Canis lupus familiaris: one gene and its partners. The protein of the gene in region 1 purifies or fractionates together with the protein of each later gene. This does not show direct contact. Links are inferred from orthologs where the notes say so. Each region holds a gene or a part of one and is shown on either strand. Other genes may lie near its edges. The genes, in order: DDX21, EFTUD2, CDK9, LARP7, RPL19, NPM1 and C1QBP.

Region 1 (3,500 bases):
GCCTGGCTTGGCCTCACATTGTTGCTGTAGCATGCTGTTGGACCCTGGAAGAACTGGGTGATGTGGAGTACTGTGTAGGCTTATTTGGGTTATTCATACTGACTTTTTTTCCCCCAAAGATTCAGAAGACAATCCCCAAACATTGCTTTTTTCTGCAACTTGCCCTCATTGGGTATATAATGTTGCTAAGAAATACATGAAATCTACATATGAACAGGTGGACCTGATTGGTAAAAAGACCCAGAAAACGGCAATAACCGTGGAGGTAAATGATTCATTCAGCTGCTAGAATTAGTAAAAAATTGTATGTCGTGTTTTCCCTGTCTGATTAAGACTGGTAAATATACACTTTTTATGGATAAATACTAAATCCATGATCCATGTGAAGGGCCAAGTAAAGATCTATTTTTATTTGAGTTGTATAGTATCTGTGTTTTCTAAATTTCATTATCTGGTAGTCTGATTTCAAAATCTTTTGGAATCTCTGTCTGAATTATGTAAGTCGGAAGAAGTTATGCCTAGAATTTAAATACTTTGAGAGCAGCAGAGGAATCTAGTACTTTGTGTTGAAGCCATTTTCATGTTAGGTTCTAGCACATAGAATTCCTTTTACCAAGAAACAGACCTGCAGGCTGACTAATTGCATTTTTAAGTGGGTGAAAGGATGAAACATTCAGAAATTTTTCTCTTGTCAGTTCCTTGGTGTCCTGTAGGAATGAAGAGATGATGTTTCTTTTTCTTCATTTTCCTGGTTGGTTCAGAAAATAGAGGAACGAGGGATGCCTGGGTGGCTCAGTGGGTTGAGCATCCGACTCTTTTTTTTTTTAATATTTAATTTATTTATTCATGAGGGACACAGAGGGAGAGGTAGGCTCCATGCAGGGGTCCCAAATGCAGGACTCCATCCCTGGACTCCAGAATCACACCCTGAGCTGAAGGCAGGCGCTTAACCTCTGAGCCATCCAGGCTATCCAGGTGTCTGGAGCATCCAACTCTTGATCTTGTCTTGGGTTAAATCTCAAAGTTGTGGGTTCAGGCCCTGCATTGGGCTCCATGCTGGGCATTTTAAAAAACAAAAGAAAGCAGGAAGGAGAGAAGGAAGAAGGGAGAGAGGGAGGGAGGGAGGAAAGAAGGAAATCGAGGAACCAGAGAAAGGGGAACAATAGCTCCCTACTTTTTTTTTTTTTTAAGATTTATTTTTTAAATATTTTATTTATGTATGATAGAGAGGGAGAGAGAGGCAGAGACACAGGAAGAGGGAGAAGCAGGCTCCATCTAGGGAGCCCAGCATGGGACTCGATCCCGGGTCTCCAGGATCCCGCCCCTGGCTGAAGGTGGCACTAAACTGCTGAGCCACTGGGGCTGCCCAAGATTTGTTTATTTTAGAGAGAGGAAGCATGTGTGGGGGCGGGAAGGGGGCACAGAGGGAGAGAGAGTCTTAAGCAGACTTCACACTGAGTACTGAGCTAGATGTGGAGCTTGATCTCACAATCCTGAGATCATGACCTGAGCTAAAACCGAGAATTGGACTATTAACCAGTTGTGCCACCTAGGTGTCCCACAACTTTTTAAAAGACTTATTAGGGACACCTGGGTGGCTTAGCAATTGAGCATCTGCCTTTGGCTCAGGGCGTGATCCCGGGGTCCTGGAATCAGGTCCTACATTGGGCTTGTGTGGGGAGTCTGCTTCTCCCTCTGCCTGTGTCTCTCTGCACACCTTCTCCCCCCCCCCCCGTCTCTCTCTTTCCATCACTCATGCATAAATAAAATTTAAAAAGGCTTATTAATTTGAGAGAGAGAGACAGCTCTCTGCTTTAATGGTTTAGGTTTGTTTTTTTTTTCTCTACACAGCGGTGGCAGTGGTCTGCTCTAGTTAGGCTTAAACAATTGCTTCTAACACTAGTAGTTTTGAGCAGATGATTTCAGGTTTCAGGTAGGTTTTACTAAATACATCTTTTTTTTTTCCCTCTCATAAGCACCTGGCTATCAAGTGCCACTGGACTCAAAGGGCAGCAGTTATTGGGGATGTGATCCGAGTATATAGTGGTTTTCATGGGCGTACCATTATCTTCTGCGAAACCAAGAAAGAAGCCCAGGAGTTGTCACAGAATGTGTCCATAAGGCAGGTTGGTCCTTGCCCTCCCTTTCCTATAGGGAGGGAGCCTCTTCCAACTGATAGACCCCGTTTCCCTGTGAGAGCTCCCCTGATCTGTCAGTCTCCTCTCACAGATGAGGGAAGGGTGACCCAAACCCGAGGCTATCCTGATGCAGTAGGTTTGATCACTCTTGTCTGGTGATCTTTACCCAGTAAGTATAGCTGGACATTGATTTAATGACCAAGGAGTAAGAAAAAATTTGAGATTTATCGATGTAAGGCACATAGTTTTCCCTCTGCTTTATTTTCAGTGGGAGTATCACAAAATAGAAATGTCTTTACAGGTCTTATGGGTGATATGAAAAGTACCTGTATTGTTGGTATCTTAAGCCAGTTTATTTCTTTGGCAGGATGCCCAGTCATTGCATGGAGATATTCCTCAGAAGCAGAGAGAAATCACTCTGAAAGGTTTTAGAAATGGTGATTTTGGAGTTTTGGTTGCAACTAATGTTGCTGCTCGTGGGTTAGACATCCCTGAGGTTGATCTGGTGATACAGAGTTCTCCACCAAAGGTAAGTATTCTATATTATGTTTCATCTTATTGTTTGTTTTGACTACTAAAACAAATGGGAAGTTGTATTGTTTACTTCCTGTGGTTAGTAATAAGTATCTCTTGAGTGCTGGGAATGCTACATGTGATTTTAAAAACAAACCTCTTCTGAGGTCCTTCCTTCAGAACTGAGTGGAAGTGTGGTCAGTGTCCAGAGGTTGGGAGGATTATTTCTGGTTGGAGGGAGATTTGATAAGCTCATGTAGGTAGGATAACTGCGAAGTGGACTTTGAAGATTGGGGGGACTGAGGCAGGGTCAGGGTGGGATAAACTCATGAGCTAGAGGATATAGAAAAGATAGTCTCTGTGTTTAAAATTGCTTGGGTTTGAGGGTGATGGGAATGTCTTAGGGAGGGCCTGAAGCATAGGTTATGTGGTGTGGACAGTGCTTCATGTGAATAAAAGTTGGTATAAAAGATCTTGTTCTGTTCCCGTTGCTTCAAATGTGAGGACCCCCACAAATTGGCAGATCCTTCAGGATTAGAAGGTTGTTTATAATGATAGAAAAAATACCTGATTACTATGAAGGCACCAGCTCTTTAAAGGGTCCTGTAGAACTGTGCTGTCCAATACGATGGCCACAGCCATGTGTAGCTGTCAAGCACTGGAAGTAGTCTGAATCAACACGTGTACTCTAGGTATAAAATAAACATTGGATTTTTAAAAATAAGGGGATCCCTGGGTGGCTCAGCGGTTTGGTGCCTGCCTTTGGCCCAGGGCACGATCCTGGAGTCCCGGGATCGAGTCCCGCATCGGGCTCCCGGCATGGAGCCTGCTTCTCCCTCTGCCTGTGTC
Region 2 (3,500 bases), on another chromosome or scaffold:
CAGAATCAGGCGCTGAAGACGGCGCTAAACCGCTGGGCCACTGGGGCTGCCCAGCTCCACTTTTTTTTATTGTTTGTTGTTTTTTGTTTTTTAAGATTCTATTTTTAAATAATCTCTGCACCGAACATGGGGCTCTAATTCATGACCCTTAGATCGAGAGCTGCATGCTCCACTGACTAAGCCAGCCAGGCATCCCCAGACCTCACTTTTTTAAAGAGTGATAGATTCCAATGAAAGAAGACAGAAGATGAACCCTTTTTGCTCTTCTCTGGCCCTCTCACTTTTACTGATAACACTGGTTTGTCGGCCTTTTCTTAGGAATGCCCCTTCTGCCAGTCCTGCTGATCCTCATCATTACCCATTTCCTTTCTGACTAGGAACAAGATTACCATGATTGCAGAGCCTCTTGAGAAGGGCCTTGCCGAGGACATAGAGAATGAGGTGGTCCAGATCACGTGGAACAGGTGAGAGAATGTGGCCCTGGTTCCAAAGCTGAAAGGGGTTGAGGCACCAGGTGCCTGGGTGGCTCAGTTGGTTAAGCATCTCTTTTTGGCTCAGGTCATGATGGTCCTGGGATCAGGTTTCACATCGGCTCTCTGCTCAATGAGGAGTCTGCTGCCCTTTCCCTCCCCCCACCTCCTGCTTGTGCTCTGGAGCACATGCACATGCTTTCTTGTGTGCGCTCATGCTCTCACTTATTCGCTCTCTCTCACATGCGCAAAAAATAAAATCTTTAAAACAAAAAAAGACCGGCTGCCATAGCCTACTTGTTGAGTCTCTCATACCACCTGTCCTGGGAAGCAAACTGTCCTCCAAGAAGGCAGAATCTGTGACCCCAGCAGGTAATAATCGCAGAGCTACAGGATACCTCCATTTTCTCCTCCTTCCCCCAGGAAGAAATTGGGAGAATTCTTCCAGACCAAGTACGATTGGGATCTGCTGGCTGCACGTTCCATCTGGGCTTTCGGCCCTGATGCCACTGGCCCCAACATCTTGGTAGATGATACCCTGCCCTCTGAGGTACAGCAGAACTGGCGGGAGCCAATGTGGGGTGCTTTCTTTGCTATTGAGTGGAGGAAACTACAAAGTGTACTTCTTTCCCCAAAAGTATGTTGTGGCTTGTTGTGAATCGTCTTACCAGTATATCTACCTTCTCGTCCCTCTAAATTCTGGTTGTTTCCATGATCAGTGTGCTCACACATGCCCTCATGTTCTGTGCAGGTGGACAAGGCTCTTCTCGGCTCAGTGAAGGACAGCATTGTTCAAGGTTTCCAGTGGGGAACCAGGGAGGGGCCCCTCTGTGATGAGTGTAAGTTCCCCCAGCGCCTCTGTGTCCTCAGCTACAGTCTTCTAGGCTCTTTGTGCCTGGGCATATGAGGTGAAATAGGCTCACCTGTGGGCCCTGGCAGGAGAGGCAGCTCAGCACACAAGGCGAGCCTGTGTCCTGGGGCAGCCTCCTCTCTTCTCTCTCCTCTCTCCCTGTCCTAGTACTATTGCTTGGGACATCCTGGATATACAGTTATTTCTAGGCTGACATTTGCTCTTCAGTCCTGAGAAGAAATGTGTTTGAAGAGAAGTATCAGGAGGAAGATGTATTGGAATAGTTTATAGACCAGGATTGGATTTAGTGGGAAGAAATGTGCAATTCCTTGAATTTATTCTCTATCCAGAAATAATTAAATACCTGCAGAAAATGCACATAAACTAGGAAAGCTTTATGATGTCTGGGCATGACCTGAAACGAACACAAAGAATGTGTGCTTAACTTCTGTCCTCTGCTTTAGGCCATGGTATCCTATCAAAACACCCATCTGCAGGATGATTTTGTGCCATAGCTTTTGTGGCCTCAAGATAGCTCCCATGCTGCTAGAGGCTCTTTGCTGCTCTGCCCTTGGGCCCTTGACACCTCAATTGCTCCTCACTCAGCAGTTTCCCCATCTCTGTTTCAGTGATTCGAAATGTCAAGTTTAAGATCCTGGATGCAGTGGTTGCCCAAGAGCCCCTGCACCGGGGTGGGGGCCAAATCATCCCCACAGCAAGGAGAGTCGTCTATTCTGCCTTCCTCATGGTGAGTGGGTAGGGCCAGCCTGCTCCAGGAGGGCATTAAGTGCAGGTCCAGGAGGTCCAGGCTTTGGGGGCATCAAGACTACAGTCCCTCCAGCCTTTTCTTTACCCAGGTCCTCAGTCGTCAGCCTTCCCCAAGCTGAGGAAACCTTTCATCTTGCCCCACTGCAGGCCACTCCTCGTCTGATGGAGCCATACTACTTTGTAGAGGTCCAAGCTCCTGCAGATTGTGTCTCTGCTGTGTACACCGTCCTGGCCAGGCGCAGGTGAGCCACCAGCATGGCACGTCAGGGAGGGTGCAGAGAGCAGGAGCCCAGCAAGAGGTAACTGGGTTCCTGTGTGGAAGGAGATGAGCCTTCTACACTATATTTGCTCCTTAAAACCTAGTGAGCTAGTTTTTCAGAGGAAGTAGGAAAGATTTGAGGCAATCCCCAGCTTCACTGCAGATACAAATTTGAGGTTTCCTTCTTGGGCCCTTTCTCCTTAGCCTCTGGGGAAAGTACTGAAGTGTGTCAGTGGGGGGAATGTCTATAGGACCTTGTCCCATCAGAGTTTCCACTCTTGCCTAGCAGTCACTGCCCCTTTGACTGCCACAGGAAATGATACTGAGGGCCCCAAGCCTTTTCCACCCACTATAGCATGATTGTGGTTATTCTTTCTTTGGTGGTCACTCTGTGTTGTGGTACATTTGGGGCCAGATTCTCTTCTCTGCTTTGGGTCTCTGTAGGACAAGGGACTCAGGTTTTGTTTTTTTTTGTCGCAGGGGGCATGTGACTCAGGATGCACCCATCCCAGGCTCCCCTCTCTACACAATCAAAGCTTTCATCCCCGCCATTGACTCTTTTGGCTTTGAGACTGATCTACGGACTCACACCCAAGGGCAGGCCTTTTCGTTATCTGTCTTCCACCATTGGCAGGTGAGAAAATGGTGCAGACTGGCCAAGGTCGCCTCCCACCTGTTCAAGGCCAGCCTCCACTGATCTGTTCCCCTTCCAAGCCCCAAGTGAGATTTCTAGCATCCTAGAGAAGAGCCCTAGACCATCGATAACAACCTTACTTTTTAGATTGTACCTGGTGATCCTCTGGACAAGAGCATTGTCATTCGCCCCCTGGAGCCACAGCCTGCTCCTCACCTGGCCCGGGAATTCATGATCAAAACCCGTCGCAGGAAGGTATGCATCCCTGAGGCCCATGGTCAACCCTCAATCCTAGGGCTCTTGGCAGGAGTTGGATCTCTCTTCATTTCTAACTTTGGGACCTTTCTCCCAAAGACTGAAAGAACTGTTCACTACACCATGCAGAGAGGTGCAAACTTTACAGGCCTCGGGTCACTGGCCTTCTGGGACCAGTCTGGCTGGGAAGGGAGCATCTTCTCCTCCCCAGTGGCAATTCCTGAATAGCTGGGCAAAAGTTCCATCTCCCACCATCCTCCCCCT
Region 3 (4,008 bases), on another chromosome or scaffold:
TGGGGCGCCTGATTGAGGATTCAGCAGGATTCAGCAGGAATGCCCAGCGATTCCTGAACACACAGGAGTTCTGAGCAAATGCTAGCCATTTTTGTGATTACTGACCCGGGACTGACCCGCTCGGACGCAGCTGGGTGGGCATAGGGCTCCCGCGGGTCTCATCCCTTCCTCCCAGAAAATTGGGGGTCCAGGGCAGGAAGGCCCGGGCGTTGCTCGCTCGCCGTCTCCAGTGTCGCCGCGCCCCCTAGCGGCCGTCGGTTGCCATGTCAACGGCGGGCGGCTGGGGCCTGGGGAGGCGGCGGCGGGGGCCGTTCTCTCCTCCCAGGACCGGAGGCCGCTCCCTCGGCGCCTCCCGCCTTTCCCAGCGGAGGGGCACTCCGAGCCGGGGAGAGGGCTCTCCGCGGCAGCTAGCATGGGGGGGTAAACTGAGGCACGCGACAAAGCGCTCCGCAGCCAGGTGTCGAGCTCGGGGCCCCACCTCCGAAGGCGGAGGAGGGGCCGCGGGCGGTGACGCGCCGAGGGCGGCCGGCGGACAGCGGGCGGCGGCGGCGGCGGCGGCGGCGGCGGCGGCGGCGGCGGCGGCAGGTGCGGCCGCGGAGGGTGGGAGGGAGGAGGGAGGGGGGCGGGCGGAGGGGGAGGGGAGGGCGAGGCCAGGGCACCTCCCCCTTTATAACGCGCCCCCTCCCGGGCTCTCGGGCCACCTCCTCGTCGGCTCTTCCCATCTCGCCCCCTTGCCCGGCCGCCCCGGGCCCGGGCCCGGCCAGGGAGACCCCAGGCCGCGGCTCGGGGGCCACCCCCCCGCTCGCCGCCCCGCGCAGCCCGGCGGAGGCGGCGCCGTCGGAGGAGGAGGAGCAGGGCACTGCGGCTGGCCCCGGATCGGGCGCCAGAGCGGCAGCGGCTCCGGCAGCAGCGGCGGCCCGGGCCGATGCAGCGGGACGCACCGCCCCGAGCCCCAGCCCCGGCGCCCCGGCTCCCCGCGCCCCCGATCGGGGCAGCCGCCAACAGTGGCGGCGGCGGAGGCGGGGGCAGCGGCGGCGGCGGAGGCGCCTCTGCAGCTCCGGCTGCTCCTGGCCTCCCGGGAACTACAAGTCCCAGGGGGCCTGGCGGCGGGCGGCGGACGGAAGAGGCGGGGTCGGCGCCGCGAGGCCGGAAGTGGCCGTGGAGGCGGAAGTGGCGCGGCCGCGGAGGGGCCTGGAGCACGGCGGCGGGACCCGGAGCGGGAGCAGCGGCGGCGGCGGCGGCTGGGGGCGGCGGCGGCGGCGCGCTGGAGGCGGCCATGGCAAAGCAGTACGACTCGGTGGAGTGTCCCTTTTGTGATGAGGTGTCCAAATATGAGAAGCTCGCTAAGATCGGCCAAGGCACCTTCGGGTAAGGCTGCGCCCCCGGGGGACCAGGCGCTCTGGGCCTGCACCGCTCAAATCCGACGTCACGATGCCCAGGGCCGGGCCCGAGGTGGTCGGGAAGGCCATGAGCGCCAGACGTGTCCCCTGGTTTTGCTAGGCCGCGCTGCGGCCCGCCTGGGCCTGACCGAGCCGGCTGGCGGGGAGGAGCCTGAGGCCTGTGATGGGGGGCGGGGAGGGGTTACGGAGAGGAGCCAGTGGTGGGAGCGGGCTCTCCGAGAGACGCCTGAGTGAGGAGACTGAGGGGAGGAAGTAGAGGCTCGAAGCTCCGCAGATAGCGGGTGGCAAGGTAGGGCAGTGCCCTGGGTCCCCGGCCCAGCCCCGCCCGGGGAATCCCTTTTTTCTGCCCCCCTCCTCTGGTGGGGGAGGGGCGGGCCCTGCAGAAACGGCCTGATAAAACCTCTTGGGTCTCCCTCTCGGCCTGCAGGGAGGTATTTAAGGCAAAGCACCGTAAGACCGGCAAAAAGGTGGCTCTGAAGAAAGTGCTGATGGAGAACGAGAAGGAGGGGGTGAGTATGGGCCGGGTGGGCGGGCCTGCCAGCTCCCCTGGGCTCGGGGTTGGGTTTCCACCCTGCTTCTGCTAGGGCTCTCGTCTGGAGAACCTGTGTGTCTGTGTGTTGGGGGGGGGGGGGTAGTTAGGCAATTTCCGTATTCGGGGAATTTGGCTTCCAAATTGAATTTTTTAATTCAAATGTTTTAGAGCTTTTGATATCCCACTCTTAGGTAAATACGGTTGGGGCCAGGAGGGGGAGCTCATGCCTGCAGAGTGTGCCTTAGTTCCTGAAGTTAGGAAGCCTTTAAACACGGTTTCCTTAGCATTCATTTTGCATAAGGCGGAAAGAAATTCCACTTGGTGGTTTTAAGGGAGTGGCTGGTACTCAGTTGAAAAGGAGCAGTCCCCTCCCTTGCCTCATTGTAGCCCTAGTCCAGCTTCCCAGAGACCTGCTTAGCAAGGACATTTCCTTAAATAGCTGTTTGTTTCCACCTAGTAAGTTAAATACAGGTATAGAGCTAAAACTTAAATATTGAAGAAACTGTGGAACATTTATTTAGTGACGAGTAGTGAAGTGTGTAGGTATTAAGTCCCACTGTTTCAGTTCATTGTCTCAGAGCAACTCATTGAGGGGCACATACTATTTTTACACCCATTTTACAGCTAAGACATCTGAAATGATGTCAGAGCCCGGGACCTTACTCGTTTGCTGCACCTGTGCCCCTTGATCTGGACCACACGGTTGTTCATTGGTCTGTTCATTGGTCTATAGTTGACTCGCTCACCTCAGGCCCCCTCTTGCCTTTCTCCTACCCAGTTCCCCATTACGGCTTTGCGGGAAATCAAGATCCTCCAGCTTCTGAAACACGAGAATGTGGTCAACTTAATTGAGATCTGTCGAACCAAAGGTAGGTTCTTTGGCTCCTGCCCCCCTTTACAGATGGGGAAAATGAGGCTTACTGCCTAAGGCTTTGCAAAGTTGGAAGTGGACACACCTAAATTGCCTCTTCTTAACCCAGACAAACCGACTGTGACTGCTCTTGGGTCCTTCCATCGTAGCTGTTGCTCCTCGAGGGCCTGCCACAGCACCCAGCCCAGAGGAGGCACTCAGGAAATAGTTTTCCAGTGAAGGAAGGCACAGCCGAATATCCCAGTGTCCACGGGCTGGAGGGGTAGAAGCTGTGTGGGGAAATGAGTTGCACGTGGGGTTTTTTACTTTCTTTTTCTTACTCCTCCCCCATTCTTCCCTCCCAGCTTCCCCCTATAACCGCTGCAAAGGCAGTATATACCTAGTGTTTGACTTCTGCGAGCACGATCTTGCTGGGCTGCTGAGCAATGTCTTGGTCAAGTTCACACTGTCTGAGATCAAGAAGGTCATGCAGATGTTGCTCAACGGCCTCTACTATATCCACAGAAACAAGGTGGGGGTCAGCATGGGGTAAGAGAGACCCGGGCTGGGGTGGGCCTCGGCTCCCACCGCTGGGTGGGTGCGACTGAGGGTTCCCCTTGGAAACCTGATTGAGCCCTCTTGCGCTTCCTGCAGATCCTGCACAGGGACATGAAGGCAGCTAATGTGCTCATCACTCGCGATGGGGTTCTGAAGCTGGCCGACTTTGGGCTGGCCCGGGCCTTCAGCCTGGCCAAGAACAGCCAGCCCAATCGCTATACCAACCGTGTGGTGACGCTCTGGTACCGGCCTCCGGAGCTGTTGCTCGGTGAGGACTCCCGAGCGGGCGGAGTGGGGCAGGGGCTGGGCACTTACCCGGCCTCAGTCCCCCACTGCCAGGGCTTCTTGAGCCGCCGGCCCTGGGGCATTGCGTCTCAGGAGGCCCTCGGGCTCAAGGGGCCCTCCTGGTGCGCTCTTCTTCCCAGGGGAGCGGGACTACGGCCCCCCCATTGACCTGTGGGGTGCTGGGTGCATCATGGCCGAGATGTGGACCCGCAGCCCTATCATGCAGGGCAACACCGAGCAACACCAGCTTGCCCTCATCAGCCAGCTCTGTGGCTCCATCACCCCTGAGGTGCGTGGCCAGGCTGCCTGGGCCCCTGGTCCCCACAGGACGCAGAGATCCAGAAGTCCTCCTGGCAAGGGAGGAGTGGGGAGTGAAATAGCAG
Region 4 (3,500 bases), on another chromosome or scaffold:
GTTTGTATTTTATTTATAATCCTACCCTTTTTTTTTAAGCCTGCCCCCTTTCAAAAGAACTTGAAATGCTAAACACTTTGTAATAGGAGGTCCTTTTAAATATAGTATTTAAGAAATGGTTGGATTGTGATTAAGCTTAAGTCTCTGCCTTTGTAGTTTTTGCATTCTAGTGGGGTAGACAGACAATAAAATTGTAATTCCAGGTAGCAACAAGAGGATACAAGGAAATAAAGTGGTAGGGTGCCTGGGTGGCTGCCTTTGGGTTGGGTTGTGGTCTCAGGGTCCTGGGATGGCCCCTGCCCTTATCAATGGGACTCCCTGCTTCCCCCTTGCTTGTGCTGTCTCTCATATTCTCTATCTCTAAATAAATAAAATCTTTTTTTTAAAGGATACAAAATTGTGGCAGATGGAATGGATAGGGTTAGGATTGGCAGAACAGAAATGTTTTTAGATTGAGTGAAAGGCCTCTTTGAGAAAGTGACATTTATAGAGACCTGAATGAACAGTGAAGTAATCCCTCCAGATGTGGGGAGGAGGGTGAAGAGAACAGCAAGAGCAAAGGACTTGGGGTGGGAATGGCCTTAGCATGTTTAAGGAATGGTATGTCATAGTTGGAGTGAGCCTGTTGGAAAGAATTGTAAGAAATGTAGTTAGATATCCCCAGGCCAGATCAAATAGTGCCAGGCAGGCCACAGTAAGGGCTTTGGATTTCGAGTATGATAAACCTTTGGAGGATTTTGTCCCAGAGATTGGCATGCTCTGATTTACATATTTAAATGATTGTTTTGGTTACTATCTGGAGAATTGATGGTAATTGATGAAAATGGAAGATAATGATTGATTGGAGAATTGATAATGGAAGAGTAGAAGCAAACACAAGTTACAGTGTTCTTGGAGGAGAGTAGGCAAGACATGATAGTGTGGACCAGGTGGTTGTGAAAATAGAAAGTATTCTTATTTAGGATATATTTTATAAAGTTAGAGCTAACATAAATGCTCCTAGATTTGTTGTGGCATATTAGGAAAAGAATTTCAGAATTTTACTCTCAGCAGTGTTATGATCAGTGTCTTCTGAGTTGGGAATACATGGCAAAAAAAATAGGTTTGAGTTGGGTTTTTGTTATTCTACATAAGAGAAACTCTTAAGATAAATAAGTGGAGATGTCAAATGAGCAATTGAGTGATGGAATGGGGGGCAGCAAATGGGAGAAGTCAGCTCTAGAAAATACAGATTTGTGAAACATCAGCATGGAGCTAAAAAGCTTAAAGCCAGAGACCCTCAGAAAGGATATGTGTGGAGATAAGATGGAAACCCAGGACTGAATAGCAAGTAAAGATAGAGCTAACTAGGATGGTCCAGTAAAGGAGATTAAGAAAACTCTCCTAGAAGCCAAATGAAGAAAAGGTTTTCAAGGAAGTTTAACTGCAGATGCCCCTGAGGGGTTCCAGTAGTCCATGGAGATCACGGGTTTCAATTCACTAGAATGGTGGAAAGAGAAGCCTGACAGAATGGGTTTAAGGGAGAATTTGGGTGAAAAATGGGATTACTCAGCACTAAATGACACTTGATTGGTTTTAACACTGGGATGGGAAAGGTCCCTTGGAAAAGAAAAACCCGCTTCTATAGCTTACCAGTTAAGTTCCGCTTCTAAACAGAAAAACAGTTAAGGGGCATCTGGCTGGCTCAGCCAGTAGAGCGTGGGAGTCTTGACCTGAGGGTTGTAAATTCAAGCCACATTTTGGATAAATTGCTGAAAAATAAGTTCTTTAAAAAAAATTTTTTTAAATAATCAGGAATAAATTATTTACTTGGAGTTTGAGATGGAGAATGTCTGAATCCCTTAATCTTACACTTTGACAGTTTGGATTAAAAGTGTAAAAGTTAAAGTGTAGTTTGGTGTAATACAGACATACTATATAGGAAGATAATCTGGCCCTGCAGTAAAAGTGCATCAAAAAGTAAAGCTAGGATTCAGAGGTAAAACAAGGAAAATGAAAAGTGACAATTAAGAGACTGAAGATGGGTCAAATGAAAATTTCCTTAACTGATTGCTAGGTGTTACCCCAAAGTTTGTCCTCTGCCAGCTGACAGTCTCTTAAGCTTTCGGACAATTAAAGGCTAATAATTATCTGAAAGTCTTCCTATATAAATTTACCTTTTTTCAATGAACAGGAATGGAAACTGAAGGTGGAAATCAAGAAAAGGCAATGGAAGAATGCACTGAAAAGAAAAAAGAAGTAGAAAAAAAGAAACGGTCACGAGTTAAACAAGTGCTGGCAGATATTGCTAAGCAAGTGGACTTCTGGTTTGGAGATGCAAATCTACACAAAGATAGATTTCTTCGAGAGCAAATAGAAAAGTCCAGAGACGGATGTAGGTTTATTTTACTGTACAACAAATGTTAACAATGTAGTATATATATTATGGTACACCACATATTATATACAGGATTAACTTTTATTTTCCCACGTAAAACCCTCATAAAGGACACGAATTTCCTTAAAGGACTTAGTGTAGGATGCAACAAATTCAGACCAAGATTTCAGTTACTTTGATAACATCCTAGTTTTTGTGGTGGAGCTCCTGGCAACTCAGGTAGACTCTTGACATCAGGGTCAATTTGAGCATTACTTTGGGCCTAGAAGTCCAGGGTTTTTCTTATGTGCTTACAGGTTTAATTCCTATGGGTTTTATGCATAAAGGCATTTTATTTACTCCAAAACCAAAACTTAGTTTAGGAGTGTGATTAATATTTTATCCAGAAGTCCTGGCTTGTTACTTTATTATATTCTGTAATGTATTAACTTTTGTATTTCTATTAGATGTTGATATATCACTTCTCGTGTCTTTCAACAAAATGAAAAAATTGACCACAGATGGAAAATTAATAGCCAGAGCACTAAAAAGCTCCTCTGTTGTAGAGGTAAGAATTGTTACACAATTTATTTTATCACATAATTATTAGTTTATTAACCTCATGTACCCATTTAAAAGCTGGACTTGGAAGGCACCAGAATCCGGAGGAAAAAGCCCCTGGGGGAACGACCAAAGGATGAGGATGAACGGACAGTGTATGTGGTAAGCCATTTTAAAAAAAAGCTCAGAGATAGTGATCACAGACAAAATTGACAGAAACACTTTAATATTACTAGTAAAAATTTATTAACCTTGAGGACTTGTAAAAATTTATTAACCTTGAGGACTTTACTATTGCTTCTAATTTATTGTAGGAATTACTTCCCAAAAATGTTAATCACAGCTGGATTGAAAGAGTATTTGGGAAATGTGGCAATGTTGTTTATATAAGCATACCACATTATAAATCTACTGGAGATCCAAAGGGATTTGCCTTTGTGGAATTTGAAACAAAAGAACAAGCAGCAAAAGCTATTGAGGTAGGTCCAGAACCTAAAAGGAAAAGCAAAAAAATTAGCGAGTACTTTTAGTGACAATTTAATTGGTTTTTAATTTATTGATTTTTCAGTTTCTCAACAACCCA
Region 5 (4,185 bases), on another chromosome or scaffold:
TTTTCCTCACCCTGGGTTCTACAAATGGATGGGCAGCTTAAGCTGTTTCTCTGATCACATTGAGGGAGAGTAAGAATAAAGCACATCAGCATTGTTCTATGAACAGATCCAATACTGAGCAGGGTTTTGATCTGTCCCTTGGGCACAAGAAAGCTTGGTACGACAGAGAAGTCATAGATATTGAAGTCAGAAAGACCTGGAATTTCAACTTTTGCCACCTCTCTCAGCTATAAAATGAGGATCACACTAACTGTAGTTTTGAAAAAGTGGCAAGTTTTGCTTCCCTTCCTCTCTTTCCTCAGCTGCATTTAGCCCCCAAGAAAGTTCAGATGATAGAGATGGGTGCTCAGCTAGAGCCAAGCAGAGTTAGACCCAGAACTCAGATCTAAGTCTCTTGAACCCTAGAATATTCTCTTTGGGTTTTTGCATTGGGTGTTTCAGAGTAGGAGAAAAGAACTATGGATGACCCTGTCATTCCATCTTTTTGTTTTGTTTAACTTTGACAGCTATTCATTTACTCGGCCAATGCACTATTTCTCAAGTGTTTATTATATATGCAAAGCTCCATGTGAGCCCAACGAGACTGGTTCCTGTCACCTAGAAGCTTGTCTTAATGCTCTCTTTTGCAAGTTAATACATGTGGTTTTCACGACGGATTACAGAAATATGAGGATTAGGTACACTTTACAAAGGAACAAACTGAATCGCCATAAGATTAAGGACCAGAGTGGCGCAAAAACACAAATATCTTTGGTGGGCGCCTGTGTGGCTCAGGTCGTGATCCCATGGTCCTGGGATCGAGTTCCACATTGGGCTCTCCACACTGAGCCTGCTTCTCCCTCTGCCTGTGTCTCTGCCTCTCTCTCTCTGTGTGTCTCTCATGAACAAGTAAAATCTTTAAAATATATATATATACATATATATACACATATATACATATATACACATATGTACATATATATATCTTTGGTGATCTATCCTGTGCTGCAGGGGTTTCCCAATGTACTGGAAGAATGAATAAAAGGTTGCTCTTGACTGATATCTCCCCTCGTTATCTTCTCTCACTCCACTATTTTTTTTTTTTTTCGCTAAGAAAACATCATTCCAAAGAACCCAGAACGCCTGCAAATAGGCCGCTCTAGCAGAACTACGTCCCGCCTGCGGCATCCAGCCGTGACTTCCGGCTTCCAGTACCCACGTGACCGGCCCCCTTGCTGCGCATGCCTATTAGGAAGTCGGACTATACCACTTTGCCTCACCGAAAGGATACATTTTCTGTGTTTTTAAGTTTAAAACCGACTCCCGAAACTAGATTCTGCTGTCTCGGTCTTCACAGAGGATAGGATTGAGTTTAGAGTGTCAGAGGATGAGAGGACCGGCGGGGAGTAGGGGCTCAAGCGGAACAGGGGATGGGCTCTCCCCCTCGCAGATAGTGGGAGGAGCCCGGCCAGGGGGAGTTCTTTCCTTTCGGCGCTGCGGCCGCAGCCATGAGGTGAGGGCGCGCGGGGCCCTGATTTTGGTTGATCCTAAGTGTCGGCGGGCGGCGTGGTTTGCTCCCCTGGCCCCGGGTGGGAGAGATGAAGTGGAGACAGCCCTGAAGCAGCCGGTCCCGGAGCTTGGGGCTGGCCCGAGCGCACTAGGCCCCGGCCTCGGCCGGCGGGGGGTGGGGGTGGGGGGTGCTTCCCGAGAACGCTAGGCCGCGGGAAGGGTGGGCCTCGCACCCCGTGTGGGTTGCGAGCGGCTTGCCGGGACAGTGGAAGGGCCGCCGCAGCGACTAGGCTGTGGCCCCCTTACTCGTTGGGCGCCCGGGATCGGGCCGAGCTCTGCTTCCATGTGACGTAGGACAGGTCTCGTCCAGGCCTCGGGCCTCAGACTACTTAAGAGTGAGGCGATGCCTTCCACCCCGTGGGCGATTCATAAGAAAACTCTTAGGCTAGCGGGACGTAAGTTTATTAGTGTGATAAGACGAGGGAAACAGGCCCAAGGGAAACTAACCCAAGGGCTAGACGAGCAAATCAGACCCTCCAGCCTCGGGTTCTTAAACGCCTGTTCCAGAGCTCATTACCAGAAAGAGCATAAGCCCCCTCTTCATCCCACTTTTATCCATAAACTTCCTTTCCCAGAGGAGAAAACCGAGGCAGAGGAGTTAAGGCATAGCTTGGTCTATGTGTTCGTTCCAGGGCGGCCAGTTGCCCCTGCAGGAATGCACTGCCCAAAAATCTTGCTATGGGAAAGATTTCTTAATATGGGGGTGGAGGGAGGGATGTTGTCTTAAATACTGAATGCCTGTACACATCCACCTCCCGTGTCCTATCCTCAGGACGTTAAAAGATTGGAAGGCAGGTTTTGCCAGGGAATGGCTTCCAGGGGCTTGATCAGGTTTTCTGTTTGTCACAGTATGCTCAGGCTTCAGAAGAGGCTTGCCTCCAGTGTCCTCCGCTGTGGCAAAAAGAAGGTCTGGTTGGACCCCAATGAGACCAATGAAATCGCCAATGCAAACTCCCGTGAGTTCTTGGGATCTTCACTCTGCTCCTCTCATCCTTCATGAAATGAAAGCTGTCACAATTTTTTTAAAAATATTTTATTTATTCATGAGAGACAGGCAAAGGGAGAAGCAGGCTCCCTGCAGGGAGCCCAGTGAGGGACCTAGGACCCTGAGATCACAACCAGAACCAAAAGCAGAGGCTCAACCACTGAGCTACCCAGGTGTCCCAAGATGTCATGGTTTTGTTGACAAACTGTGGAAAGCTCATAGTCTGGAGTCTTCAAAAATGAGGGTGCCAGAGATAAAGAGGTGTCAGTCATGCAGATAGCAACATAGCCCTGTTACTTCCATGTAGTACTGTTAAAGAAAAATATGTTCAGTGATCTTCGTTAAAGATAGGCTTTATTTAGGACCATTGCTGCAAGTGTAGGGACCGCTACAGTGGGATTTTACAGTGGGGGATGAAAGTTGCAATCAAGTCTGAACATAGCACAGCCAAGTAGAAAGTTTTGGCCAAGGAGAGTGGTACGAGTGTCAGCGGGTGGAAGATTAGTAAGAGGAAACTCTAATGGTAAGGGAGTGGTTGTTGCTAAAGACAGGCCAGGGGGATCTGACCTCACCTGGGCAATGCTGGTGGATGAAGAACCTGATCTTGTTTCAAGGTTATCTGCTTAAATGGACTTAAACAATGACCTTACAAAATGCAGAATTTATAAGGAAGTGCACAGGCGGGCCTGGGAAGTGGTTCCAGGACCCTGATGAAAGTTTGGTCAAGCAAAGAATGTTGGTCAGTACCAGGGAATTTCTTAACCAGTTTGAATTTATGGCATTGTGACATGTGTTCAGAATATCCTAATCTTGTCTTAGCCCAGTAGCTAATAGGGGAGTCTGGATCTGAAGGACCAGGCCGTATCTGTACACTGTTGATCACATATCCCCAAATACATATAATTTGAGTGTGCTGTAAAACATTTAGAAAAAAATAGAACAAAAGTGCAGTTTTTTTGTTTTTTTTACAAAAGAGAAATAAACAGAAAGTTCCAGTATTTGTATCATTTTGAGACCACTGGGCCAGGAATGTAAGCGATGTCTGCACTGTCCTGTTTGGACTCTGGGTTGTGACTGGTATTTGGGGGGCCAGTTCACTGACTAGCTACATTGTTTTCCCAGGTCAGCAGATACGAAAACTGATCAAAGATGGGCTGATAATCCGGAAGCCTGTGACTGTCCATTCCCGAGCTCGGTGCCGGAAAAACACTCTGGCCCGCCGGAAGGGCAGGCATATGGGCATTGGTAAGTGTGTTCTTCCCTTTTCTCTGAGACTTAAATTAGAGTTGCCTGAGTCTAGACTGGGTTATATCCAGGATCTTTTTCACTTCCATTTTGTCTCCCCTCGAGTCCTTTTCTTAACTCCATGATACCTGCTGTGTTTTCTCTGTACAAATCAGAAAGTTGACACTAGTGTTGGATTTGAAGGTGTTGGTAGAAAGAGGTCACATTTATTGATCAACTACACTATGCCACGGATTCTTCTGGGTACTTGAAAATGTTATTCAGTAAATCCTAAAAGCATTTTCTAGGGTTAGGATGATTTAGGGAGACGAAGGTCACACCCCCTTTAAAGCCCCCTCCAGCTAACCATACTGCCTTTGCATATGCCCTGTAGAGCACACATTACTCAAGGGAGTAATTGCCTTGTT
Region 6 (3,938 bases), about 21 Mb from region 1:
AGTCCTGCATCAGGCTCCCCTCAGGGAGCCTGCTTCTCCCCCTGCCTGTCTCTGCCTCTCTTTGTATCTCTCATGAATTAACTCACACACACACACACAAATTATATATATATATATATATATATCTATATCTATCTATCTATCTATCTATCTGAAACCGGACCCAGGCATATCCCTCCAAACTCTTAGAGGGATGTTAGCATTGGACTTTGAGCTAGAGCATCCTGTCCTATAGCTTCATTCATTTGGACGCTTGGCCCGTTTCCTCGTCTCCAAACAAGGGATACTCACATCTGCCTCACGGGATCTTACACGGGGAAGTACTGCGGGTACGTGGCCCTTTTAAAATCTCGCGTCTGGAGAGATCAACCAGGCTTGGTGCCTGCCCTGCTCATTTGGAAGAGGCTCACTCAGTCCCCCTTAGGCCCCCAGATGACAAAAAGATGAGGGATTTCAACTTCAGAGATGTTTACTCAGCAAGGAAAGGGCTATAAAAGCAGTTGAATAAGTCGGGACAGCAGCCACATCTTTTCTCCCCAACAAGGAATACTCGGTTATCCAGGGTCTCTGGCACCTGAAGCTTTAACTTTGAGGAAACAATGAACTCTGAACCCAAGCCTTCGGGTGAGTCAAAATCCCGAGGTGGCTCTGCCTGCCTGGAGGCCTGAGAGGCACGAAGTGATGGGGAACGGTGAACCGAGCTCTCTGGCTCTCTTACAACCGGCTCGCCCTCCATACCTAGCACCGCCAAGGGCTGCCGCCGCCATTTTGCAGGGTGGGCAGCGCAGGCTCCAGGCGCTGGGCCGGCGGGTGGGAGCGGGAGAGGACGTGGAAGGGTGGGAGGGGGGCAGCGCGCGCCACCAGGGGAGAGCGCGCGTGCGCACAGCGGCGGCGGCGGCGGCGGAGGGGTGGGGCCGGGGTACGAGTGCGCGTGCTCCATGGGAGCCCGCGAAGTACCTGGAGGAGGTGGGGGGCGAGGTAGAAAGGAGTGGAGTTGAAGAGCGCTTGCGCGGGAGGGCGACCGTCAGGGGAGGGGGGCTCCCGAGCACGCGCGCGGAGACGGGACTTGGAAAGCTCTCGCGAGATCTTCGCGGTGCTATATATGTGCGCAGGGAGCCCGCGTCCTTTCCCTGCTGTGATTCCGTCCTGCGCGGCTGTTCTGAGGAACAGTAGTCGTGTGTCTCCGTCCGCCTTCTCTCCCACCTAAGTGCGTGCCACCGCCCCATGGAAGATTCGATGGACATGGACATGAGCCCCCTGCGGCCCCAGAACTATCTTTTTGGTAAGTGCAGGGGGGGTGGGGTGAGGCCGGGCAGGGCCTGGTGGCTTTGAGGTGGGGGTGGGGGGGCGGGAATCCCACTGAGGCCTGGGCTGGGAGGGTAAGCCAGGCAAGCTGGAGGCCCGAGGGAGGGAGGAGAGCCGCCGAGGCCCTGCCCCGTAAGGGATGGGAGGTCCAGAGAGGAGCACGAAGCGGTGAAAGGAGGGGCGGCCTGAAGCCTTGGGCAGGAACGATCCCAGGCCCAGGGCCTGAGGTAACGTAGAACCGACCGGCTGAGGGTTCGGCTTTGCTTGGGGGCACGCGGTAGAGCCACGGGCTTGATTTTCTCTTGAGCTGCGTGGTTTCGTACAGGCTTGGGATTCTTGGCCGGCGTCTTTGATGCAGGGCCCCGGCTTGGTCCTGGAGGTTGAGGGAGTCCGCGGTGTGGGCCGTGGGCTTCCTTTCTGGGGGAAAGGGTATTTAGAGCCTCGCGTTGTCCCTAGGCCTCAAGAGTGCGGAGCTTCAGGGCCGAGTTTCAGCCCCGGTGCCTCGGCCCGTTGCGGGGGGAGGGGAGGCGCGGCCGGGCGTGAGGAGGCCGCAACCGCTGGGAGCACGTGGTTGCCACGTGGTTGGGGGAAGGAGGGGGTGTGGGCACTACATCCGGGTCTCCCCGGTGGCTTGTCACCACGGAGCGTGGCATCCTGGGGCTTAATTGAAGCTGTTGGGCGGGAAATCTTAAGTGAAGAGGCTGGTAGAGCCAAGATTCTGTAAGTCTTTGTTCAGTCCTTAACATCCGTGATGGCAGTTCTCATTTATAGAGCACTTGTTAAAAAGATCGAACCAGCCCACTTTGCACATGACTGATGCTCAGAACTGAAGGCTTGAGGCTTAACGAGGGCTTGTACTTGTAGGTAAATAGTGGGTAGATCTAAACCAAGACCCTTCCTTGCCTCTAGAACTGGTGCGTTGATTTTTGGAGGGAGGCTGGGGGAAACAGCCTTCTTGTGGCCTTGAGCAAACAGCTTTTTTGAAAAGATGAGGAATTTGTGTGGGGTTCAGTAAGAGCTGGTACTGTTTTTGGAATCTTCCCCTCCCCTCTCCAGAAAGCAGTTACATACATAGTAGAGAGGCCAGCTTTGGTTTTCAATCTTAGTGAAATTGTCAGAAGCCCTATCTTTGTCAGACTTTGAAGTAAGTGCAAATCCTGCCCCCACGTTTCTTTATATACCATGCTGAGATTTGTTAATTGAGGTAACATTTAGACATCTATGTACCAGTAACTGTTAGAGGGCAATTAAATGGAGTCCTTTAATTAAAAGGTTATTCTGATGGTACTTGAAACAACTTGCCTATTGATGGGATGGGAGTGGGTAACTTACACCATATGTTACGGCTTTTATTCCTAGTCCTTTTGAATTGCTAGGGTTTCTGGTCAATTTATACTGTATTTTTGTGTTAATCTTTTCTACGGGAAATATCCCTAGGATATATCTATTCTTAAACATAATTTCTAAGCATAATGAACATCATTTCTGTTAACTTCAAAGGTGGAATATTGACCCCTCTAGCAAGTTTTGGGTCTTTTACATCTGTAGTTTATGTCCTGTGAATACAGGCTGTTCTTGTAGGTGTTTGTGTAACCATTCTCGTTTCTAAATTGGTCACTTCTCTTTCGTAGGTAGGTGATTAGTCCTTTTTAAAGTTTATCGATATTGTACATTAGACTTCGTTTCAGATACTGCCAGATCCAGATTTACTAGATCTTTGAGCTTGTTTCTATCTAAAAACAACTAGAGTGTGGTTGAAAATGAAATAGTATAGTTGGAAAGTGGAATTTATAAAGCCCTGTATAAATGTTACGTGATGTTTCTAGACATTGCTGTTCAAGAAATCCAGGAAGAGCTACCTCTGCATTGCCTACTGATAGCTAGAATAGTGGGAAACTTGGTCACAAATTAACTGTTACCTTTCGGTTATCCTCACTTAAGTTTCAGTGTCATTTTTCTCTGTTGCTTTTTTCCCTTGATTTACAGGTTGTGAACTAAAGGCTGACAAAGATTACCACTTTAAGGTGGATAATGATGAAAATGAGCACCAGTTATCTTTAAGAACGGTACTGAAACTTTCCAAAATAAACTACTTGACCTTTCTTGATTCCTATTCCTATTTGTGTGACTTAACATTTTCATAGTAGTATTGTTTATAACTGAGTGTTATAAATACATGATCTTGTACCTGTACTATAAAACTTGGCATCTTTACTTTTCATTTGGTAATGTGAAGTTGAGTCACACTACTGTTCAACTTTCCATATTTGTGTATTTTGCCTCTCTGGCTGCATTAGAAAAAGCCCTTTAGGGCAGTGATAAATTTTATTTTTTTGTCCTCCATAGTGGGGCCTGCAGCCTTACTGCCTAACTTAGAATAGGTGGACAGTAGATGTTAGGTGGTCCATTCTGTGGGTAGCAGATAAAACTATGCCATTAAATATATTTGCTGCGTTTGTTCAAATGAAAAATTGGTTGGCAAGGCAACCTAAAACTTGAAGATGACATTGTGCACCGATAAGTTTTCTGTTAGTGGTAATAATAGGTTTATAATTGCTTAGTTTTTTCTTAGAAGGCAAATTTTGGGGGGATTGTAAAATAGGAACTTAAAGTATTTTTGTTCACAGGTCAGT
Region 7 (4,235 bases), on another chromosome or scaffold:
TTACATGTCCTCATAACCTGCAGCCCTCGGACAGGTACTGGGGGAGGCAGAGGGTGAGTTTCCTCTGGGAAGCCCTCGACTCTGAGTTTGACAACAGCCAGGCCTCAGGTTTCCAGAGTCTTCTTCAGTGTATGAAAATCCTCTTAAAAAAAATTTTTTTTAAAAGATTTTATTTATTCATGAGAGACAGAGACACAGAGGGAGAAGCAGACTCCCTGCGGGGAGCCCTATGTAAGACTCAATCCAAGGACCCCAGGATCACACCCTGAGCCACAGGCAGACACTCAACCACTGAGCCACCCAGGTGCCCCTATCCTCTTAAATCTTCCCTAACCCTTACTTCCCCAAGCCCTGGAGTGGCTGCATGCCTTCTGCCCCAGGCTCCTGGCCCTGGGCTAAATGAAACCACCACTTAGCTCCAAGATGCCCAGGACCCAACCAAACCACACGGAGACATTCCAAATAACTCCACCAGAGACGACCCCAGGGGCAGCCCCACACAGGAAACTAAAGGATTTGCAGCAAAGGAGGAGGAAGGAAATAACTTCCAAAGCCGTGACTGTCAAGCAGAGGCGAGCAGGTTATTAAGGGTGAGGGATGAATATCCAGGGAGAGCAGCTGTGTTCCCTGCGCAGGGGCGTCCATCAGGTTGCTCAGGTACAAGGTTGAAAACACCTTTACCTGCGCCCTGTCAGGGCAATGAGGCCCCTGCTCCCCCCGGGGGAGACCTTAACCTTGTGAGGGTGGGGCCAGGGGAAGGGGCGATTAGCGCCTCCCCCCCCCCTCCCCCGGGCCACGGGCTGGGGTCTTGGGCTCATCTCCGATGGGAACACCCGCCTTGCTCTTGGACCAGCCCTGGGACTTGTACCGCGAGGTTGAAGTCTGGGATGCGGTTCGGCCGCCCACGTAGTTCTGCATTCCCTTTTATTCCTTAAAATCCGTAACGACTAAGGCTTTTGCATCTGCGATTCTGACACCGCCTTAGGAGGTTCTTCGAGGAGCTGCTAGGAGTAGGGTGTGGGTGCCAAGAACAGCTGGAGGCCCCAAGTGACCTCTCCGGGGCCTTAAGAGCTCTCTTTTTCTGGGCCCCTCCCTCCTCCTCCCAGCTTCCTGGTCCCAGAACAATGCAAAGTCTTGGGAACTGGGTGCACGCTGGTGGGGGGGAGGGGCACACGCTGGGGGCCGTGTGTGTGCGCGTGCCGGGGCTGTGCATGCTGGGGAGGTGCACACAGGTGGTGTGCACGCCGGGGTGGTGTCCACGCTTGGTAAGGGTGGCGGGAATTCAGAGGGCCGGCCCCGGAGCGGAGCTACCCTCGGGGCTCGGGGTCCCGCGGGGAGACCCGGCGCCGGCGGCCCCGCTGACCTCGGCGGCCCCAGCAGAGGGCGCTGCCAGCCCGACGCCCCGGGCCGGCACTGCACAGGCGCGGAAGCGCTCCCGGGGAGGAGCGGGACTTCCGGCGGCGCGCGAGCCGGGATCCGGGCCTGGTTCGTCCTTCGCGCCCGCACGTGCGTTGCCGCGATGCTACCGCTGCTGCGCCGAGTGCCCCGCGCCCTGGGCTCGGCGGTCGCCGGGCTCCGCGCCGCCCCCGCCCTGCCGCCTCCGACCCTGCTGCGGCCCGCGCCCCGGCCGTGCGTGCGGCCCTTCGGGCTCCTCCCTGTGCGCGCGGGCCTCCTGCGCTCCCGCGGGCCCTGCGGCTGCGGCTGCGGCTGCGGCGGGCTGCACACCCAGGGTGAGGCTGGGGCGCGGCGGGGGCGGTGGTCCGGGGAGCCGCGGCCAGGGGGGCGGGGGCCCAAGGCCCCAAACTCACGACCCCCTGCAGTGGACGACTCCAGGTTAATCCCACGTGGCTTGAGGTTTCCTGCCTTAATCCCGAGAGTGGTGGCTCCCTGGCTGGCGGTGATGCTTCTAAACCCCGGCAGCCGGCTCTATCCTGAGCCTCGGAGGTGGATTCGGGGAGGCGGCTGGTCAGAGTTAAAAGCAGGGGAGGTCGTGTGTGGTCTGGGGCGGGTAACGGGAATCGCCTGGCTTCGCTGTGAAATGCGGTGATGGGCTCGTTGCTGGAAGTCATTTTTCCAGAATTGAGCTCAGCCTCCTGCCACGGGTGTCCAGCCCGTTTCCAGGTTGGGAACCGAGGCCCCGTGGGTCTGACTCCGTGCCCAGAGCCTCCGTAACAGCACAAGCATCAGAATCGGTCGAGGCCAGGTTTCCCACAGCAATCACCCCAAGTCGTTTGTTGGTTTAAGACTGACTGGTTTTTCTTTTTCTGTATCTTATGGGTTTTCATTGCAGGGGACAAAGCTTTCGTCGAGTTCCTGAATGATGAGATTAAGGAGGAAAAGAAAATACAGAAGCACAAGTCCCTCCCCAAAATGTCTGGGGGCTGGGAGCTAGACATGAATGGGACGGAGGCCAAGTTAGTGCGGAAAGTAGCTGGAGAAAAGTAAGTGTGGGCTGCAGGGGGTCCCTCTGACCCGGCGCAGCCTCCCCGATCTTCCAGGGATGCCTTAGAGCAGGTCCCCGGACACATGATTTCCAGGTGCCTCATTCACTGCACGCAGATTGGCTGAGCGTGGATTTATTAAGGAAGGAAGGATGTCCTGGTAAGGAAGGCCCTGCCTGACCCAGGCACGCATATCAGAAAGTCTTCTTAAGATTTCATTTACTATTATTATAATTTTTTAAGATTTTATTTATGCATGAGAGACATAGAGAGAGGCAGAGACACAGGCAGAGGGAGAAGCAGCCTCCATGCAGGGAGCCCAACATGGGACTTGATCCCAGGTCCCCAGGATCCCCTCCGGCTGAAGGTGGCGCTAAACTGCTGAGCCACCAGGGCTGCCCTATTTTTGAGAGAGAGAGCACGCACATGGGCAGAGGGAGAAGCAGGCTCTCCTCCTGAGCAGGGTGCCCTATGGGAGCTGGAGCTCGACCCCAGGACCCTGGGATCACCACCAGAGCCAACCCCAGACCCTTCACCAACCAAGCCACAGAGGTGCCCCCGACTGAGATTTGTGCAGTTCTGACGGATTGGGTGCCGCCTCTGCAGTGCAGGGTTCTGGCCGAGGGAAACCCGGCCCTCCCCCTGACATTTGACGTTTACAGTGGGGAGAACCAGCCTGTGGCCCCCATGTGCGTGGATGAAGCCACATGTGCTTAGTGTCCCCGTTAGAAAGGTACAGAACTTTCCATTTGCTTCACCTCTTCACCATCCCTTTTTTGAGTAAAGTTCTGAGATGTTGTGAACTGGGATCTGATTCTTTCTTTGCCTTTATTTGCCATGTTTTTTTTTCCTGCATAACTTCCCCTAAACCATTTTCTGAGGGTAACGTGTAGCCAGTGGAGTAAATATAATGTTCTAGTGAATAGAGCGGCACCTCTGTGCCCAGGTGCTCAGTGTGGTCAGCACCGCGGCACATTAGATAGGTTTTGTAGCTGAATGTGACACCAGCATCCCTGTACGGGAGCAACTCCAAGCACACCGGCAGGGGGGTCCCGAGTACACCCACGGAGTGGGGGAGCTGGCACCTACCTGCGCTGGGCACTCAGACTCGGAGCACAATTTGTCAGGGGAGGGTTCTGTAGCGGAAGACTGTCATGAGGTGGGTGTTTCCAGGCTGCTTCCTCACGATATGGAACTTCCCACAAGTATTTTAAAGAATGGATTTAGGGGGGGCGGGGGCTCAGTGGTTGAGCATCTGTCTTTGGCTCAGGTCGTGATCTCAGGGTCCTGGGATCGAGTTCCAGGTCGGGCTTTCTACTCAGCAGGGTATCTGCTTCTCCCTCTGCCCCTCCCACTGTTCGTGCTCTCTCAAATAAATATATTTTTAAAAACAGCTCTGGCAGCTGTGTTGACGGGGAGCCCCCTCCCCGGGGCCTATCCTGGCCCTCTCATAGCAGCACCCTTGTGTGCCTCTCTTCCCCTGTCCCTCTGGGCAGATCTCATGGAGTAAAGTTCTTACGAGAGGCTACCTGCTGTCCCAGCACCCTCTGCTGCTCACTGCCACCGAATGGCTGGTGGCCAGGAGCCCTGGGTTGGCAGGGTGGGGGGGCAGTTAGTAACCCACTGCGTCTGCACGTGGCGGAGACAAGGAGATAAAGTGGGGCCTGTGGGTTTATTTTTTATTTTTTTTTTAAGATTTTATTTATTTATTCATGAGAATACACAGAGAGGAGAGAGAGAAGCAGAGACACAGGCAGAGGGAGAAGCAGGCTCCATGCAGGGAGCCCAATGTGG

Evidence for each region.
Region 2: the proteins of DDX21 (region 1) and EFTUD2 purify together in Homo sapiens (affinity purification with mass spectrometry; 3 studies listed by BioGRID and IntAct, with this or other methods). This does not show direct contact. The link is inferred for Canis lupus familiaris from reciprocal best matches to the Homo sapiens genes DDX21 and EFTUD2.
Region 3: the proteins of DDX21 (region 1) and CDK9 purify together in Homo sapiens (affinity purification with mass spectrometry; 3 studies listed by BioGRID and IntAct, with this or other methods). This does not show direct contact. The link is inferred for Canis lupus familiaris from reciprocal best matches to the Homo sapiens genes DDX21 and CDK9.
Region 4: the proteins of DDX21 (region 1) and LARP7 purify together in Homo sapiens (affinity purification with mass spectrometry; 5 studies listed by BioGRID and IntAct, with this or other methods). This does not show direct contact. The link is inferred for Canis lupus familiaris from reciprocal best matches to the Homo sapiens genes DDX21 and LARP7.
Region 5: the proteins of DDX21 (region 1) and RPL19 purify together in Homo sapiens (affinity purification with mass spectrometry; 3 studies listed by BioGRID and IntAct, with this or other methods). This does not show direct contact. The link is inferred for Canis lupus familiaris from reciprocal best matches to the Homo sapiens genes DDX21 and RPL19.
Region 6: the proteins of DDX21 (region 1) and NPM1 purify together in Homo sapiens (affinity purification with mass spectrometry; 3 studies listed by BioGRID and IntAct, counting the BioPlex papers as one, with this or other methods). This does not show direct contact. The link is inferred for Canis lupus familiaris from reciprocal best matches to the Homo sapiens genes DDX21 and NPM1.
Region 7: the proteins of DDX21 (region 1) and C1QBP purify together in Homo sapiens (co-immunoprecipitation; 3 studies listed by BioGRID and IntAct, with this or other methods). This does not show direct contact. The link is inferred for Canis lupus familiaris from reciprocal best matches to the Homo sapiens genes DDX21 and C1QBP.

What each region holds. Positions count from the first base shown.
Region 1 is NC_049225.1:20,838,776-20,842,275, forward strand, and holds part of DDX21 (nucleolar RNA helicase 2), read left to right. Parts: intron 1-119; coding exon 120-265; intron 266-1,976; coding exon 1,977-2,126; intron 2,127-2,505; coding exon 2,506-2,667; intron 2,668-3,500.
Region 2 is NC_049230.1:18,514,319-18,517,818, forward strand, and holds part of EFTUD2 (116 kDa U5 small nuclear ribonucleoprotein component), read left to right. Parts: intron 1-377; coding exon 378-464; intron 465-893; coding exon 894-1,020; intron 1,021-1,221; coding exon 1,222-1,309; intron 1,310-1,949; coding exon 1,950-2,068; intron 2,069-2,235; coding exon 2,236-2,330; intron 2,331-2,827; coding exon 2,828-2,981; intron 2,982-3,128; coding exon 3,129-3,236; intron 3,237-3,500. UniProt on the Homo sapiens protein: Required for pre-mRNA splicing as component of the spliceosome, including pre-catalytic, catalytic and post-catalytic spliceosomal complexes. Component of the U5 snRNP and the U4/U6-U5 tri-snRNP complex, a building block of the spliceosome.
Region 3 is NC_049230.1:55,704,457-55,708,464, reverse strand, and holds the start of CDK9 (cyclin-dependent kinase 9), read left to right. Parts: upstream 1-1,208; 5' UTR 1,209-1,276; coding exon 1,277-1,368; intron 1,369-1,827; coding exon 1,828-1,909; intron 1,910-2,710; coding exon 2,711-2,801; intron 2,802-3,147; coding exon 3,148-3,314; intron 3,315-3,436; coding exon 3,437-3,608; intron 3,609-3,765; coding exon 3,766-3,914; intron 3,915-4,008. UniProt on the Homo sapiens protein: Protein kinase involved in the regulation of transcription.
Region 4 is NC_049253.1:7,462,054-7,465,553, reverse strand, and holds part of LARP7 (la-related protein 7), read left to right. Parts: intron 1-2,173; 5' UTR 2,174-2,175; coding exon 2,176-2,374; intron 2,375-2,823; coding exon 2,824-2,924; intron 2,925-2,995; coding exon 2,996-3,079; intron 3,080-3,231; coding exon 3,232-3,396; intron 3,397-3,485; coding exon 3,486-3,500. UniProt on the Homo sapiens protein: RNA-binding protein that specifically binds distinct small nuclear RNA (snRNAs) and regulates their processing and function.
Region 5 is NC_049230.1:23,125,187-23,129,371, reverse strand, and holds the start of RPL19 (60S ribosomal protein L19), read left to right. Parts: upstream 1-1,385; 5' UTR 1,386-1,487; coding exon 1,488-1,492; intron 1,493-2,397; coding exon 2,398-2,504; intron 2,505-3,655; coding exon 3,656-3,778; intron 3,779-4,185.
Region 6 is NC_049225.1:41,660,374-41,664,311, reverse strand, and holds the start of NPM1 (nucleophosmin), read left to right. Parts: upstream 1-1,138; 5' UTR 1,139-1,224; coding exon 1,225-1,282; intron 1,283-3,291; coding exon 3,292-3,371; intron 3,372-3,932; coding exon 3,933-3,938. UniProt on the Homo sapiens protein: Involved in diverse cellular processes such as ribosome biogenesis, centrosome duplication, protein chaperoning, histone assembly, cell proliferation, and regulation of tumor suppressors p53/TP53 and ARF.
Region 7 is NC_049226.1:31,558,774-31,563,008, forward strand, and holds the start of C1QBP (complement component 1 Q subcomponent-binding protein, mitochondrial), read left to right. Parts: upstream 1-1,435; 5' UTR 1,436-1,519; coding exon 1,520-1,730; intron 1,731-2,290; coding exon 2,291-2,441; intron 2,442-4,235.